2 linked regions of the Drosophila melanogaster genome follow. The protein of the gene in region 1 purifies or fractionates together with the protein of each later gene. This does not show direct contact. Each region holds a gene or a part of one and is shown on either strand. Other genes may lie near its edges.

Region 1 (7,960 bases):
GCTACGGGGAGGATTTTCTGGAATGGTATGGGGATTAAGCGAGATAAAAGTGCGGAAATTCATACTTTCGCCACGAGATCCATCAGTGCCGGATGGTGGTGCTCGCTGGCCAGGTGGAAGACCTGCAGAACCACCTCCATGGGCCACTCCTGGTGGGCCAGCTTGTCGATGTAGCAGTCGATGAAGTCCAGCATCTCGTAGCGCTCGGCCAGCAGCATGAGGTCACCGCACATGTCGATGGTCACCGCATTGCACACCTCGTACGTGTAGATGTAGAGGAGCAACGCCTCGTAGGCGGTGGGAGAGGCGTCGTCCACGCTGATCACTCGCTTGTTCTTCTGGAACTCGGGATCCCTGATCAGGCGCTCGAACTCCGCGGAGGCGGAGATGAGCATCACCTGGTGGCAGCGGAAAATGCATGGACAACGCTTGCCCTCCTTCAACTTGTCCGGTTGCGAGACATGGAGCTCGCAGTCCGACTTTTGGCCATTCCGCAACAGGTCCAGGCGGCGTAGCTTGCAGTTCATAGTGACTGGGGATTTTTTGGAGGCTTTGCTCTCACATAGCACAAAATTTGGAATTCGAAATTAGGGTTTCCCTGGCAGGAATGTCAGACTCTGAGAAGGAGGCCGCCGGCAAAGCCCACCTGGGAAGCAACAATCGGTGGTCCGACCTGGAGGAGGAGGAGGAGGGTGAGGCGAACGACCAGGGAGGGATCCAGAACTTGAGGCCGGAACTCGTTGTGCCCAGAACCACAGCTGCATCGGATGTTGAGGAGAATTTACCATTGGGTTCTCCGAGTGATGGGTCCAAACGCGCTACGAGTAGAAACCGCAGACTGGAATACTTTCGCAGTGGAGCCGATGCCGATTGCCAGGTGCACGTCCTGAGCAACTGCCCCCAATCCGATGAGCCGGCGGTCAGTGTGTGCTACAAGAAATTTGGCTGCCATCGGATCTTCCTGGCCACTGCCTCCGACAAACTGGAGCAGGACGTGTACCAGAACAAGGACTGGAACGGCGTACTCCAGATCAATGGGGTTTCGCCCGAGAGCGTGGAGATCTTCCTGGAGTTCATATACACCTTCGAGGTGACCTCGCCGCTGGTCCAGCTGAAGCTGGTGGGGGATATGTTCATCCTGTCCTGCGCGTACAACATGCCGGAGCTCCTTCGCTCCTTTGCTGAGAAACTAAAGGAGCAGGAATTGCCTCTGGATGGCATCTTTCCTGCCTTCGACCTAGCATTCCGGCATAACATCATCGATGTGGAGCGCGTTTGCATCGAGGTTAGTAGATTGGAATATAAAATGGAGCCTTAATTTAGTTAGTTATCCTTTAGAAAATCATAGAGGAAGGCGCATCATTGATCCACGAACCCAGTTTAATGAAACTCCCGGTCTATGCTCTAAACTACGCCATCCAGCACTGGCTGGTGGCGGATGCAGTGCCTCCCGATGAACTCATCACGATTTTAAAGCAGTATCAGGAGATCAATGAGATTACATTCGCCAACACGCAAAAATTCCCGCACTTCACCAAAATTATCAAGTATTTCCCCAATGTTCTTCTGGACGCCGAGGGATTCATCAATCAAAACTAGAAAACTACTTGGAATTCCCAAAAGCTTCGCGCATAAAACCCAAAAATTTAAAAAAAATAAGCCAATAAAATATCAGTTCTCATTAGCATTGTATTGGGTATCTTTTGCATATGGCAAACTGGAAGCTCATCTAAGGGGAAGCTTAGATGAAAGACAGTCTATATTTAAGTTGTAGTTTTCAATAATTTCCTATTGATCAAAAGCGATCCAAACTTTAGAAGCATTTTTCAAAAAGATAAACGAGCAGTGCTGCCAACCGGTTGCACCACTCACGCCGGTATTTTCTTATGCGCCATTTTCGGTATTTTCCGGCAGATACCAGCCAAGAAGCGAACGCGTTATGCGAGGGCCGCATTTGGTACACTAGTGCGCCATTTTACTCGCATAAAGCCGAAAATTCACACAGTGGCCAGAAAGCGAGAAATTGCACAGTGCAAAAAGGTGTTTGGTAATTGATGAAAAGTTTTGCGCGTACCGTGAACCGACCGTTAATGATGTGCCCGCACGCGCAGCGGTGAAAGGCAGTTAATTCGCCTGTGGAGACGCGCTCACCACAACAAACTCGTGCTGTCCGAAAAAAAAAGTCGGCGCTCGGATTGCGGATTATCGAAGTACCGTACGGCAAGGCAGCAAAAAAAGTACGGAAAAGCCGCCCATGCAACGCGGCCAAAAAAGATAATGCAAGTGCAGTAATATTAATTGCCTGGCAGAGCGGCGCATACAGACACACTCCTCCTTTTTTCCCCACTTTTTTTGTTCTCTGGAGGCGCATGTTTTGTTTTTTCGTGCACTGTACCGTGGGCTCAGTGTGTGTGTGTGTGCGTCGGTGTGCCTGTGCGTGTGTGTGTACACATTTTAGGCGGCAATGGTGTGGGGCCCTGGCCAGCCGATAGTCCGCCGCGCCGCGAATGTTATCGATAGACGAGCCCTAACCATTTGTTGTTTGTTTTCCTTTTGTTGCAGTTTTCATGTCTATATAAACAAACGTACAGCGAAAGTCGGTTAAAAAATCAAGCAGCGAAATGGAGGAGATATCCAGTTTGGACTCGTTCGGCGCCGATTCCAATGCGCGACCGGAGTCGGCCACCCCCAGGTCGGAGGAACAACAGGATCAGGATCGACAACAGACTGCTCCGGCGGCCAGTGAAACTCTGGATACGCCCGCCTCGCCGCCAGCGGAGGATGCAGCTGCGCAGGAAAGCAAACCGCCTCCTTCCAAGGAGGCGGATGACGACTTCGAACAGATCTCCGAGGGATCATTAGACGCCGATGATAACCAGTCGCGGGATAAGGCGGCTAGTACACCAGCTGATCCCGTGGATGCGGAGGAGCCCGCCGAGGAGCCAACGCCCAACGAGGAGCCGCAAGGCGGTGAGGATGAGCAGCCACAAACAGAAGCCGTGAGGGTAGATCCACAGGAAGAGCCCGAGGAGGCGGAGGAGGAGACTGATGCCCTCCAGGCCACTGCGGAAGAGGTGGAGGCAGCGGCCGCCGAAGCAGATGCTGTGGACGGCGGTCCCGCTTCACCCGAAGCAATGGATGTGGATGAAGGCGAGGTGGATGCAGAAGGTGAAGCTGAGCAGGAAGCAGAAGACGACGCAGCTCTGGATCGAGAGGCGACAGATGATGTAGATATGCAGTCCGTGGGCGCAGATTCACACCAGGCGGAGGATGCAGAGCCACCGGAGGGCCGAGATGAGGTGGACACAAGCTTAGAGGAGCAGGAAAATGGCCAAGATCCTGATGAACGGGAGAAAGATGCGGCCGCCGATGAAGATGATCCGGATGCAGAAGGAGATGCGGAATCGGAGCAGGTGGATGAAAATGCCGAGGAAACTGGTGAGGCCGAACATGGCGATGGTAAGTCTTAGTACTTCTTTGATGCATGTTTATAAAAGACTAAATGAATGAACTATTTACATTATAGACACAGTGGAAAATGTTTTGGAGCCAGAGGAATCAGATGTTTGCCTTATTCCCGATGATCAAGAAACGGAAGTGACTGAAGCTGAGAAGGAACTGGCCCGCGAGAATGCCGAGAAGGCCGCCGAAGAGGAGGAAGCCGAGGAGCGGCAAGCCAAGACACCCGATAACGATAGAAAGTCCCCGGCAGATGCCGCCGCCGATCCAGAAGACGACAGTGCAGCTGCCGTTGACGCCACCGACGTATCTCCAACCACGCCAACTGGTAAGTGCTCCACACTAAGACTTGAAATGCCCTATCCCACATCTACTCTATCCATTTTGCCTGCAGATGCTCAAGCTGGAGCTAAGTCGGCGGCAACAGGCATTGCAGAAGGTGAGCAGATTGGGTTAATTCCTGGGCAAAACTCACTAACTGCTTCATTCGACTGCATTCTATTCATTTAATTCTTGCTTTAAATTTAGTTTGTTATTACAAAATTGGCTCCTAGCATACAGAACGATTGCTTATTAAAATGTATATAACGTAAATCCCCTTTTTTTGCCAGCAGATGGAGTAGCTGCAGCAGCTAACGAAGAGGAGGCCGGTGGCGATGTTCCCGATCCCGACGAGCCCACAGCCGAGGAATCCTCCAGTGCCGGAGCGGGTGAACCTGGTTCCACGCCGAAAATCATCATTAGTTGGATCGTTGGCAGCGTTCAGAAGTGCAAACAGTGTGGCGATGAAAAGAATTGTGGGTTTCGGTACAGGAGTCCAGAGGAGTCAGAAGAAATGGATAAGGAGAAGGAAAACGATAAGGCAGAGGAGAACGCTGAGGAGGGGGAGGAGGAGGAGGCTCGGCAAAAGCCTGCTGCTCCCAGTGGGTTCGAGTACATCTGCGATACCGCCTGTGTCGACGCCCTGCTAGAAGATCAACCCGGCAAGTACTTTGTACGCCGCAAGAAGTTCCTGGTCGAGGAAGTGGTTCGAGAAGAAGGCGCCGCCGAAGCGGAGGCTAGCGCCGATGGCGAGGGCGGAGATGCCGAGGAGGAAGCTACTCCAGCCAACACGCAAGATTGCCTGCAGTGCAAGGATAAGACGCGGTGCAAATATTTCATTAAACAGGACCAGGACTGCTTCTACATTTGCAATGACGATTGCTTCAATCTGCTCAACGCTGAGGAGCCAGATAAATTCAAGCTGAAGCGGCACTCGATTCGAGTGCGCAACATTGGCGCCACAACGCTGCAGCCACCGCAAAATTCGCCCACCAAACGGACCGACGGCAGCGTGGTGGCCAGGACGGTGGAGGAGGCAGAGACGGCGCGCCTGGACAGGATCGAAAGCTTCCGAAGGCGCTGCGCCGACTGCGAGGCGGATATCAATACGGACGAGAAGCAGCTCATGTGGGAGACCATGGACTTCTGCAATGAGGTGTGCCTGGGCAGCTATCAGCGCACCATTGGCTCCACCTGCGAGACCTGCAAGCAGGAGGTGAGCTCCATAGCGCTTGGCAAGTACTGCGTGCGATTCGGTTTCGATGTGCGGCAGTTCTGCTGCGCCGGCTGCCTTAACACCTTTAAGAAGGGTCTGAAGACGTGCTCCTGCTGCCAGAAGGACATCAGCGGCGGGCAGGAGGGCTTCCTTGCCCCGGTGGGTGACAAGGATCAGTTCAAGGACTTCTGTTCGCAATCCTGCCTCCGTCGCTACGAAAGCATGTGCAATCCCCGACGAAAACTACGCACCGATGTCTGCGGTGTGTGCAACAACCAGAAGCCAGTGAGGGTGGAGATGCTGCTGGAGGACAGAGAGCACTACTTCTGCTCGAATCCCTGCTTCTCCGCCTTTAAGTTTGTGAGCAACGTGAACGCTGATCCGTGTGCCATGTGCTCCAAATACTTTGAGCGGCGGAGCGCCGAGTCCTACACCATCTACAACGAACAGCAGTCACCGAAGGTCTTCTGCTCGCGGGTCTGCATAAATGTGTACATCATCGTCAACAGGCACATCGTCTCCTGCCAGTGGTGCAAGGTGAAGAAGTACAACTTTGACATGATCTATCAGATTGGTGGGCCGCACGATCAGGAGACGCTCACCTGCTCCATCAACTGCCTGACCATGCACGGCGTTAGCTGCAACATCTCCGCCAGGGCGGTTACCAAATGCGACAATTGTTCCAACTTCAATACGCCACAGTATCATTTGACCATGTCGGATGCTTCCATGCGCAACTTTTGCACCTACCAGTGTGTGATGCAGTTCCAGAATCAGTTCGCCCGCGCTCCCCTCACGCTGGACAGCGACCTACCGCCCAGTAGCGCCGGCAGCTCCAAGTCCCAGCAGCAATCCAATCGAGGCAACAAGAATGCGGCACCATTTCCCACGGGCCTGCCCAAACGTGTCAAACTGAAGCTCTCCCACGTGAGTCAAAAACTAAATAATAAACTAAAAGGGTACACACTGGGTTTTTTTTAAGTTTTTACAATCGAATGATAGCCATGCAATAAGTGTTAAAATATTGAACGTAAACGAAGTATTTGCAATTTTTTTTACCTGCTCGCTTAATTATTAATACATTTACTTCAATTTGGCTTTCAATTCAAGTTTCAATTGCAATCCTAATTTCATTCAATGTCCACCAAAATGGGAATTAACGTAAATTAATTAAGTATCATACCTAAGTTGCATATAATTAATGTCCCCGATAATTGCAGACTGGAAAAGGTGGCGTTGGAGGCAAGAAATCCGGCTCCGGCACCATGCTACCGGTTATATCCACGGTGCAATCGCTCGCCAGCGGCGAAACCGAAGCCCGGATCGGCAATCTGACGGTTCGTCGCAAGCGTGGACGTCCACGGGAATCGGGAACCTCATCACCGCCGCTGTCCATGCCGGGTGTCCATCCGCCAGCACAGCGAGGAAGGCCACGCAAGCACGCTGTAGACTACTCGGCGCGTTCACCATCGCCCACGATGTCAGGTGGCAGCTCCCACATGGGCATTCCGGTCAGGCGAAATACTACCACGACTATGGATTTCGGGCCGGCTACGGTAACGGAGACCAAGATCATCACAGTGCCACCATATCCCAAGGCTGTGCGAAACGTGAACATAAGCTGTAAGCCCTTAACGGTGACCCAGGGCGAGCAGTGTAGTCCGGATGTGCGGGATTGCGCCACCCAGACGGAGAAAGACTACTCCAACAAGGTGCTCATCCCGGTTCCGGTGCCCATCTTCGTGCCGCAACCCATGTACATGTACTCGGCTCCGTTCCCCGTACCAGTGCCCATTCCGCTGCCAATCCCGGTGCCTATTTTCATACCCACCACGCGCAACACCGCGCAAGGCATACTTAAGGAGATCAAGAAGATACAGGACAAGATGCCAGAGGATCCACTGGAGGCGGAGTTGCTTATGATGGCCGAGATGGTGGCAGAGGAGAAGCACGAATCGGACTCCGATTCGGACAACGAGATCAAGCCGGATCCGGGCCTGGTAGCTCTGCAGTACCAGAACAGCCTCGAGTCCGTCGCCCAACAGCAGCAACAACAGCAAGTGGTGGACGTTAGCGGAGCCGGACATAATCCCTACGGCGACGATATGCTGCAGATAGCCCTCAAGATGGCCACAGGCGACTACGACAATCATCACCAGACCTCGACGGTGGATCTGGAAACGTCGATGACGGCGAATACGATCAGCAGCCAGTCGCCGATGGGTCACGACGGAATGGGTCAAATGGGAGTACATCATCTAGATCAGCAGCATCACATGCTTGATGCCACGCAGCGGTGAGTTAAGAGAGATGGCAATCAGAGATCAATACTCAAGTACTTAAATGTGATGACTTTCAGAACCGCACGTGGACGCAAGCGCGGCGTAGGCGTCGTCATGGACCCACCCAACCGCAACAGCCGCTCGCCGGTGAAAAGGCAGCGCGGCGGCGAGATGGATCACTCGGCCCTGCAGCAGCAGTCGCAGCAGGCACAGCAGCCGCAGGAGAAGCCCGACGCCCAAATGTTCCTGAAGTACACCTTCGGGGTGAACGCATGGAAGCAGTGGGTGATGACGAAGAACGCGGACATCGAGAAGAGCTCGATGCGCCGGCGGCCCTTCAAGACGGAGCTGCTTCAAATGACCGCCGACGAGTTGAACTACTCGCTTTGCCTCTTCGTCAAGGAAGTGCGCAAGCCCAACGGGACGGAATACGCGCCGGACACCATCTACTACCTTGTGTTGGGTATGTAGTTACTCCCCAGGTTTACACATGTACCATTTGATTTTATTGGAATCTCTTCCTTCAGGCATTCAGCAATATCTGTATGTGAATGGACGCATAGACAACATATTCTATGATCCGTACTACGAGCGGTTTACCGAGTGCCTTGACGAGGTGGCGCGCAAGTTCTCCGTGCTTTACAACGATTCGCGTAAGTTGAATCAACTTGAAATGAGTCAG
Region 2 (7,606 bases), on another chromosome or scaffold:
ACCTGCTGTCCGAAGCGGGCTACGATGTGTGGATGGGTAATGCCAGAGGCAACACCTACTCCAAAAGACACGCCAGCAAGTCGCCGCTGCTGCAGCCCTTCTGGAATTTTGAGTGGCACGATATCGGAATCTATGATCTGCCCGCTATGATGGATTACGTCCTTTACTGGACAAATGTGACTCAACTTACGTATGTGGGTCACTCTCAAGGAACCACATCCTTTTTTGTGCTCAACTCTATGATTCCGCGCTTCAAGAGTCGCATTCGATCTGCTCATTTGCTCGCTCCTGTGGCCTGGATGGAGCATATGGAGAGTCCTTTGGCCACGGTCGGTGGACCACTGCTTGGTCAGCCCAATGCCTTCGTCGAGCTCTTCGGCAGCGCCGAATTTTTGCCAAATACACAGCTAATGAACCTGTTCGGGGCTCTCCTCTGCAGCGATGAGGCCATTTCACAGTTCATGTGCACCAACACCCTATTCCTGCTGGGCGGCTGGAACTCGCCATATATCAACGAGACCCTGCTCCCAGATATTATGGCCACCACTCCGGCGGGATGCTCAGTAAATCAGATCTTCCACTACCTGCAGGAGTACAATTCCGGATACTTCCGGCAATTCGACTACGGATCTACGCGCAACAAGAAGGAGTACAGCAGCAAGACCCCGCCGGAGTACGATGTGGAGGGCATCGATGTGCCCACCTATCTCTATTACTCTGACAACGACTACTTTGCTAGTCTGATTGACGTGGATCGCCTTAGGTATACCATGAACCCGAGCGCCCTGAAAAGCGCATATCGCATGCCGGAAGAAAAGTGGAATCATATCGACTTTCTGTGGGGACTGAATATTAAAGAAATTCTTTATGATCGGGTAATTAACGACATAAATAATGCATAAATGTGCGCTGGAAATAAAAAAAAGCGACATACGTTTTTGTGACATTGTGATAAAAAAAGTTCCATTGGTCACCACTTCAACGGGGGCTTTTGGTAGCTAATGAACCGATAATATACGAGTGGTCATAAATTCAAATTGATTTGGTGACACTTCACGGTGACTGAACAACGCAAAACGAACTAGCCTGCTAACATTTTTTGCCTTATAAGTGCACCTGCTAAATACAATGGATTATATTAAGTGTAATATAATAAAATATAAGCTGTACTAGATATTTTTATTTTATTTGCTGATTGTGTACTGTTGAGAAATATTTTGCACTCTTAGTTTGAATTGCGCGCCAACTTTCAGGGATGAAGCATCTTGTAAAATCATCGATAGACTTTCAGCGTTTTTTGTGGTAGTCGATAGTCCGCAACATACTGATCATAGTAAAAAATATCTGTAATGTATATTTAGGTGGGAAAATATATTCATGGCATTTATTTATACGTTAAATCAATTCTTGTTATGATATTCCTTAATTGTAAAAAAATTTTATTCTTGTTCTTATTAGCAGAATATAAAATTGACCAGTTTACGTTAACACTTTTTTTTAAATACAAAAATTTGATTTATATTTGTTTATATTTTAACGAACCGATGTGTGGTGCACCACTGTGCGTGTGTCACGACAATACCCAAGCCGATATTATCGATGTTTTCATCGATGTTATTTACTCGAGCAGGTACATCCACGCAAGGAAAGCTAATTCGAGCGAAAAAAAATTTACTTAGCTCTTAATATTTTTAAAAACAACGCCCTCGCTGGGCCAGTGGTCGGTTAACTAGTTAGCTGTAAGATGACGCGCGTAACGAGAAGTGAAATCTCCCTGGACATGGAGTTCTGGGTGGAGGAGCTGTCGCCGGCACAATTGGCGTACTACGAGAAGATTACTAACGAGCACAACGCGGTGAAGGGTGCACTAAAGAACGCGGTTAGCGCCAACGAGGGCAAGGAGCTGTTTAACGGCCAGGTGTTCCAGGCCTACTCCTTTAAGGGCAAAGTGCTGCAGGAGCTCAAGGAGGCTACGCTGCCCAAAAAACCACCCAAGCCGACGGACTCTCCCTCAACACCCGCCGCCCAAAGCGGTGGCACAGGGCGGGGTCGTGGCCGCCCACCACGACAACCATCCAACATCGCCTACCTGGAGTCCTCCGATGAGGGAGACGACGATATGCCGCTGGCCAAGCGACTGGCGCTGTCTGCAGGCAAAAAAGCAGTGGCCGTGGCCAATGCATCTTCCTCGTTCACCCCGAAATCCAGTAAGAAGGCTGCATCCGCTGCTAGTGGAGGATCTTCTTCACCGGTACCTAAGAGCAGTGGAAAACTATTTAAGGAATCCAAACCGGACATCGAATCGCCGCCGAAGAACTACCGCCCCGCCGAGGTTAATTCGGTGGGCGGTCTGGTGGTGGGCAGCACCGACGAAAGCAAGGATAGCAAAGACGGCAAGGATGGCAAGGATAACAAGATGCAAGGAAAGACATATCCATCTCTGGTGGTGCTAGCAAAGCCTTTTCTCAAGATCAAAGACATGGCTGCCACCCGCAGCAAGCTGGACTCGAAGGTTAAGCTGGTGCTCATGCTTACGCCCAATAAATTCTGCGAGTGGCTGCTCCAGGAGGGATTGCTACGCGCTCAACAGCATTGCATAAACCATCGCAACAACGAGCTCAAATTGGGTAAGAGATATATGATCAACTGAATTCGTTTATTAATGTATTTATATTTAGGAATTTATTCGGATGTGACCAAGTTTCCCTACACTGGTGGCTATGTGTGGATCAGCGAATGTTGCCCCTACCGCTTCGTCTCCGTGTTCAACAATTCCATTTTCGAAGGAGCTCAGCACCCACCCACATTCCTGTTGAAGTTAATTTACCACTGGGCTTGCCAGACCAGTATTCAAAATGTGGTGCAGTGGGTTAAGGTGGACAGTGTTTATATCAAAGGAATCTACACCTGGCTTAGAGCCATTTGCACTTTGGCAGTGCATCAAAAATGCAAGAAGCTGGGCGGTCCCGGCAAGTTTGTGGAGGTGGGTGTTATTTCCCTAGGAACCACATCCCAAGATGGCTCCCAGCGACAAGTGAAAGTTGAGGTTCTGGGCGTCTATGATTATGCGGAGAAGTCCATCCGACTGCGGGCTGTAGAGCCAATCACCGATGGTGATCGTAACTACAAAAAGCGATTCCAGGCCATTCTTGAGCCACTGTCGCGCTGGGTGCACAAGGACAGCACCATTTGTATAGACTTGACTGTCGACAAGATCACCCTCTTCAGCATGGGATTCAAAAATATTGTCCAAGCAGCTGCCACTGACAACACAGCCAAGCACAACAACTCAGCGGTAATGGAATATTTGCGACGGATTGTGCCGCGCATGTTCCAGAACACCCTATCGTTGCTATCTCGCCAGATGATTCAACAATTCCTCGACGAGTTGGTATGGCGAGAGTCCTTTGGTACATATGCCTTGCAGGCATTCAACAATATCATAATACACATTGCCGAGCAGACAAGAGTAACCACCAATGAGACAATCACTCAGCGTCTGTATCAGGTAAGCAGAATCGAAAAATTTTTATTAGCGATTAGCCTTTAATAGCTCTTTCGTTTAGGTGGCAACCAATCCGTTCAAGGACTGGAGTATTTTGCCGGCCAACTACAAGGAGACACCTGCCAATGCTGCTCCCAAGCGCCTCAAGAAACGTTAGTACTATCGTACTTTTGTAGCAAGTTTTTATTTAGGCCGTGAATAGAATAGTGCGTTATGATAATCTGTTAAGTGCCTGCGTTTCTCACTCCAAACTGAAATGTTTTCGTTTTGTTTGATTAGTTTTGGTTAATCGAACCCAACAGCTGAGCTCAGGTCCACTTATTGTGTTATGTGAATTGTGAATTTATATAATCTATATAGGTGAAATGTATCATTGATATATTCACATATGTACAATTTAAGCATTACTTCCTGACATTTCTCGTGTCTAATTATTTTAAAACAACCCCATTAGAGAAACCATAAATAAACTTGCAAGAAATTTAATAACTGTTTTTATTTGATTTCCTTTTTCATTTGGAGTGATAAAACGCAAGAAAGAATTTACTAATTAAATTGATTGGACCCATTCCACCAGATTCAACAAAAATGGACAAATATGTAATGTTTAAGTTTGTATGTTGAGATTACATCTTTTTAAGTTAACATCTTCAATTGCAGCTATCAACGATGCTGACTACGTTGTTTCTAACAAGATTCCCAAGAAGGAAAAGGATCGTGATATAGCATCATCTGGAGTCAAGCGCGGCCGTCCACCGAATGCATTAGGCACCCCACCACCTCAATTGCCAATTAAAAAGGGTCCAGGTCGGCCGCCGGGCAGTACCAACCAGACAAAAGGAGACAGAGCAACGACCTCGTCATCTAAATCACTGTCTAAATCTCTGATAGCTAAAGGCCTTGGTAAAAAACCGAAAGAAAAAGATGAAAAGATTCCAATGGTCATTAAGAAAGAAGAGGATGATCTAAGGGGCTTGGAGGAGCTGTACTATGGAATAAGTGATGGTACGGACGAGTACCACGAGATCTTTCCATATAGCACACCCCGTACGGTTCACAACGAACTGGCCAAGACCGTGGAGTGTCCAATCTGCCTGAACGGCGACTCCTTCGATTCCAATGAGAAACTCCAAACGCATTTAGTATCGCATATTTCGCCAGAGGGTAAGCAGCACCAGTTCCAGTGCCTTTTTTGCTTGGAGAAGCATCCCACCGAGTCGGTTTTGGCCAAACACAACCAGATCATGCATCCAACTGAGACAAAAACGGAGGGTTCACCCTCGTACTACTGCCTAATATGCCAGCAGCGTCACAATTCCCTGCATCTGTTGACGGCTCATTTGCAGAAGGTCCACAGCACCCTGGAACTACCATATTGGTGTCACTCCTGCGGCTATCGATCATCTTCGCACCGCGATTTGGTCAGGCATTTTTATGACGACCACAAGCATCAAAACTTTTTACAGTGCCCCTATTGCTTGGATGTAAGTAGCTGTCATGGTAAAGTAATCTTGTAAAGTTCTCTCTATTAAAAACTGATTCTTTTTAGATTTTCTACTTCTCAAAGCTTGGCGTCGTTAACCAGCTGCGCATAGAACATTACTTCATGCATTTGGACGAGCACATCAACAAGCGTGATCCCTCGCTGCGCTGCCAGAAATGCTCGCTATCCTTCCTCGAGAAGGGGGATCTAAAGCAGCACGCAGTGCAGCATCATGTGAGCATGACTAAGACCAATAGACCGGTGCGTCTCTTACTCAACAACTCGATGTTGATACCACCGCCAAAGATTCGCACCCATCACCGCGAGCAGCCGCCGTTCTCCACCTACAAGCGGCCAGTATTCTTTGCTTTTCTGGAGGGTAAGACCTGTGCCGAGTGCAACACCGATTTCGCCAGCGAGGAGACACATTACACGTAAGTTCAAAAATATTTTATTTACCTAAGCAATAAATCGCCATGGATAAAGGTGCCAGTATTCACAAGAGAAAACCAGAGCTGACAGTATCCAACCAATTCCCAAGACACACCAGCCCAGTCTCAAAGTATCCACATCGATACTTTGATAGCCCAGGACGTTATCTACAAACCTAACGTATCCAGCACGCATGGCATCGTTAAAGTCGGAAACTACCCAGTGATTCAGCAGTCCAGTATCCTGAATCTTCAATATGAAATGGTTAAGGGATGTCTCCAAGTGGCTGTCAACGCGCATTGGATAGCCAATATGTGGAGATCCCAAGCAAGCAGATGAAAAGCGAAAAATCGGCTTAAAGGCATATTGCTGTTGCATGGCAAAAAACTGCCAACGTTCTTCTGTAAAAGGGTACGCGAAGCTGCGATTAAAACTCAGCAAAGCGGACACCTGTTCACTGGCATTTACAGGCACCAAAAGCCGAGATACTTTTTCCACTAATCGAGGTTCAACATGGCGCAGAAATGTGTTAATTTCATACTCCTTGACGAGCACCCTTTGCTGCTGGTGGACAAGCTGATCCATGCTATTTACTTGCTCGCCCACTACTATGGTTGTGAAGAAGCTGTCCAACTCAATGTTGTACCAACTTGTGGACATGAATCCCAGGACTGAAAGTTGTAGGAAAATAATCAAATGGCGCCATGTTGGTCTGTAAATTGTTATAGGGGGGCTGATAAAAAGTATCTTGCTTATCGCATCTAGAAAATTCAATCCCAAGCGTTGCGGCCAAGAACTTTTATTGAGTTTCGGGCTTATGCAATAGAGAATTCCAGTGATGTAGAAAACTGCGAATAACAGAATATACCAGCTGTACAATTGGAATGGTCGCAATAGGTACATGTGCCTTGGAATCTCATTTCTCATGGGCACAATCAAGCAGTTTGGATATATTAGTAAGGGGTAACTCTTGGTTGCTGTTGGGGGTGTGAAAACGTACGGGTGCAAAGAGATTTCCAATTGACCGTCTATAATCAACTGCACAATGTGGTTCATATTCACACTAGTTGTTGGGTCTAGATTCTCATCTGGATTGGTCAAACGCAGCGAGGCATTATAGTGATCCAAATATTCCACGAATGTGCGATATGCGTATCCCAGCACCTTTCTGCTCTTCGTTAATGGATCGTGCACATGAAACACTCTCGGAATATCATTTTCCGCCGGAGTGGATACTACATATCCATGGAAATTCCTTGCTGCATGTGGAAATAGCGGTTCCGTATGAATATCGAGTTTGAAAAAACGCATCGCCGGATACGGAGTGTAGGAATAAAGCTGATCCCTTTGCAGGACAAGAACGTTGAGGAATTGATATTGCCATAAGGCGTTGAATATTGATTTAATAGCACCTTGCGAGCCACTTCTTTGATTACGCAGAATGATGATCAATCGAATGCGACGGAGTTTTCGTAGATTTCTATCCAGAGTAAGCCACATGATATCATGTTTATCATGACAAAAGAACAAAGCTATGCCATTGTATCTAGTGATTTTAAAATGACCAAGGGGTCTTATATGTTCAGGTTGGAGAAATAAATTCATTGTCAAGCTAGTAACTCCCATTGTTTGATGGAGCCAAATAATCAAGTCGTTGAGGTCGCCTCCTTGCGTATTATGTCCGACGAATATTGGTGTATTTATCCACGGCTCCCGTGTAGAGATGAGACTTAGAACGGATTTCAACAATGTCACATTGTAAGCAGCGTTTGTTAGCGCCAGTAATAAAATAACGACCAATAAGGTTAACACTTTGCACATGGTGGTTGATTCAATTGTGACAAGCCAGAACCGCGGGTTGAGGTTTATAAGTCAGCAGCTAATTGATTTAATAGTGGCTGATTGATCTCTTGGGGAAAACTCATTAGAATGTGTGAGGCAATAATTTGTAATAAAAGGTTTTGGCGCTCTACGCACTCATTTAATCACTTTTTTATATTAAATCTTTTCCCAGTGGTTGGCTACACTGCGTTAAGTGCAATTATCAGACATGTTGCGAGCGAGCGCAATTCCGTCATGGCGTGGAATGTAATGGAAACTTTGTGGACGCCATGGAAGTGAATATGCCACAGGAGATGCACTGCATCTGCGGCTTTGCCACCGGCAACGGCAACAAGATGGCTCAG

The links.
Region 2: the proteins of woc (region 1) and row purify together in Drosophila melanogaster (affinity purification with western blotting; 3 studies listed by BioGRID, with this or other methods). This does not show direct contact.

The regions. Positions count from the first base shown.
Region 1 is NT_033777.3:27,258,054-27,266,013, reverse strand, and holds the start of woc (without children), read left to right. Parts: upstream 1-1,958; 5' UTR 1,959-2,237; exon of another isoform or gene 2,238-2,279; intron 2,280-2,562; 5' UTR 2,563-2,621; coding exon 2,622-3,459; intron 3,460-3,526; coding exon 3,527-3,787; intron 3,788-3,853; coding exon 3,854-3,898; intron 3,899-4,065; exon of another isoform or gene 4,066-4,070; coding exon 4,071-5,923; exon of another isoform or gene 5,924-5,964; intron 5,965-6,028; exon of another isoform or gene 6,029-6,133; coding exon of another isoform or gene 6,134-6,157; intron 6,158-6,216; coding exon 6,217-7,292; intron 7,293-7,355; coding exon 7,356-7,741; intron 7,742-7,805; coding exon 7,806-7,931; intron 7,932-7,960. Other genes in the region: CG14260 (uncharacterized protein), read right to left, coding at 1-17, 66-527; CG14262 (uncharacterized protein), read left to right, coding at 608-1,285, 1,339-1,599.
Region 2 is NT_033778.4:15,207,628-15,215,233, reverse strand, and holds the start of row (relative of woc), read left to right. Parts: upstream 1-1,599; 5' UTR 1,600-1,744; coding exon 1,745-2,627; intron 2,628-2,678; coding exon 2,679-3,508; intron 3,509-3,566; coding exon 3,567-3,657; coding exon of another isoform or gene 3,658-3,662; exon of another isoform or gene 3,663-3,989; intron 3,990-4,165; coding exon 4,166-4,989; intron 4,990-5,054; coding exon 5,055-5,422; intron 5,423-5,447; coding exon of another isoform or gene 5,448-7,241; intron 7,242-7,434; coding exon 7,435-7,606. Other genes in the region: CG8093 (uncharacterized protein), read left to right, coding at 1-902; Ir51b (ionotropic receptor 51b), read right to left, coding at 5,448-7,241.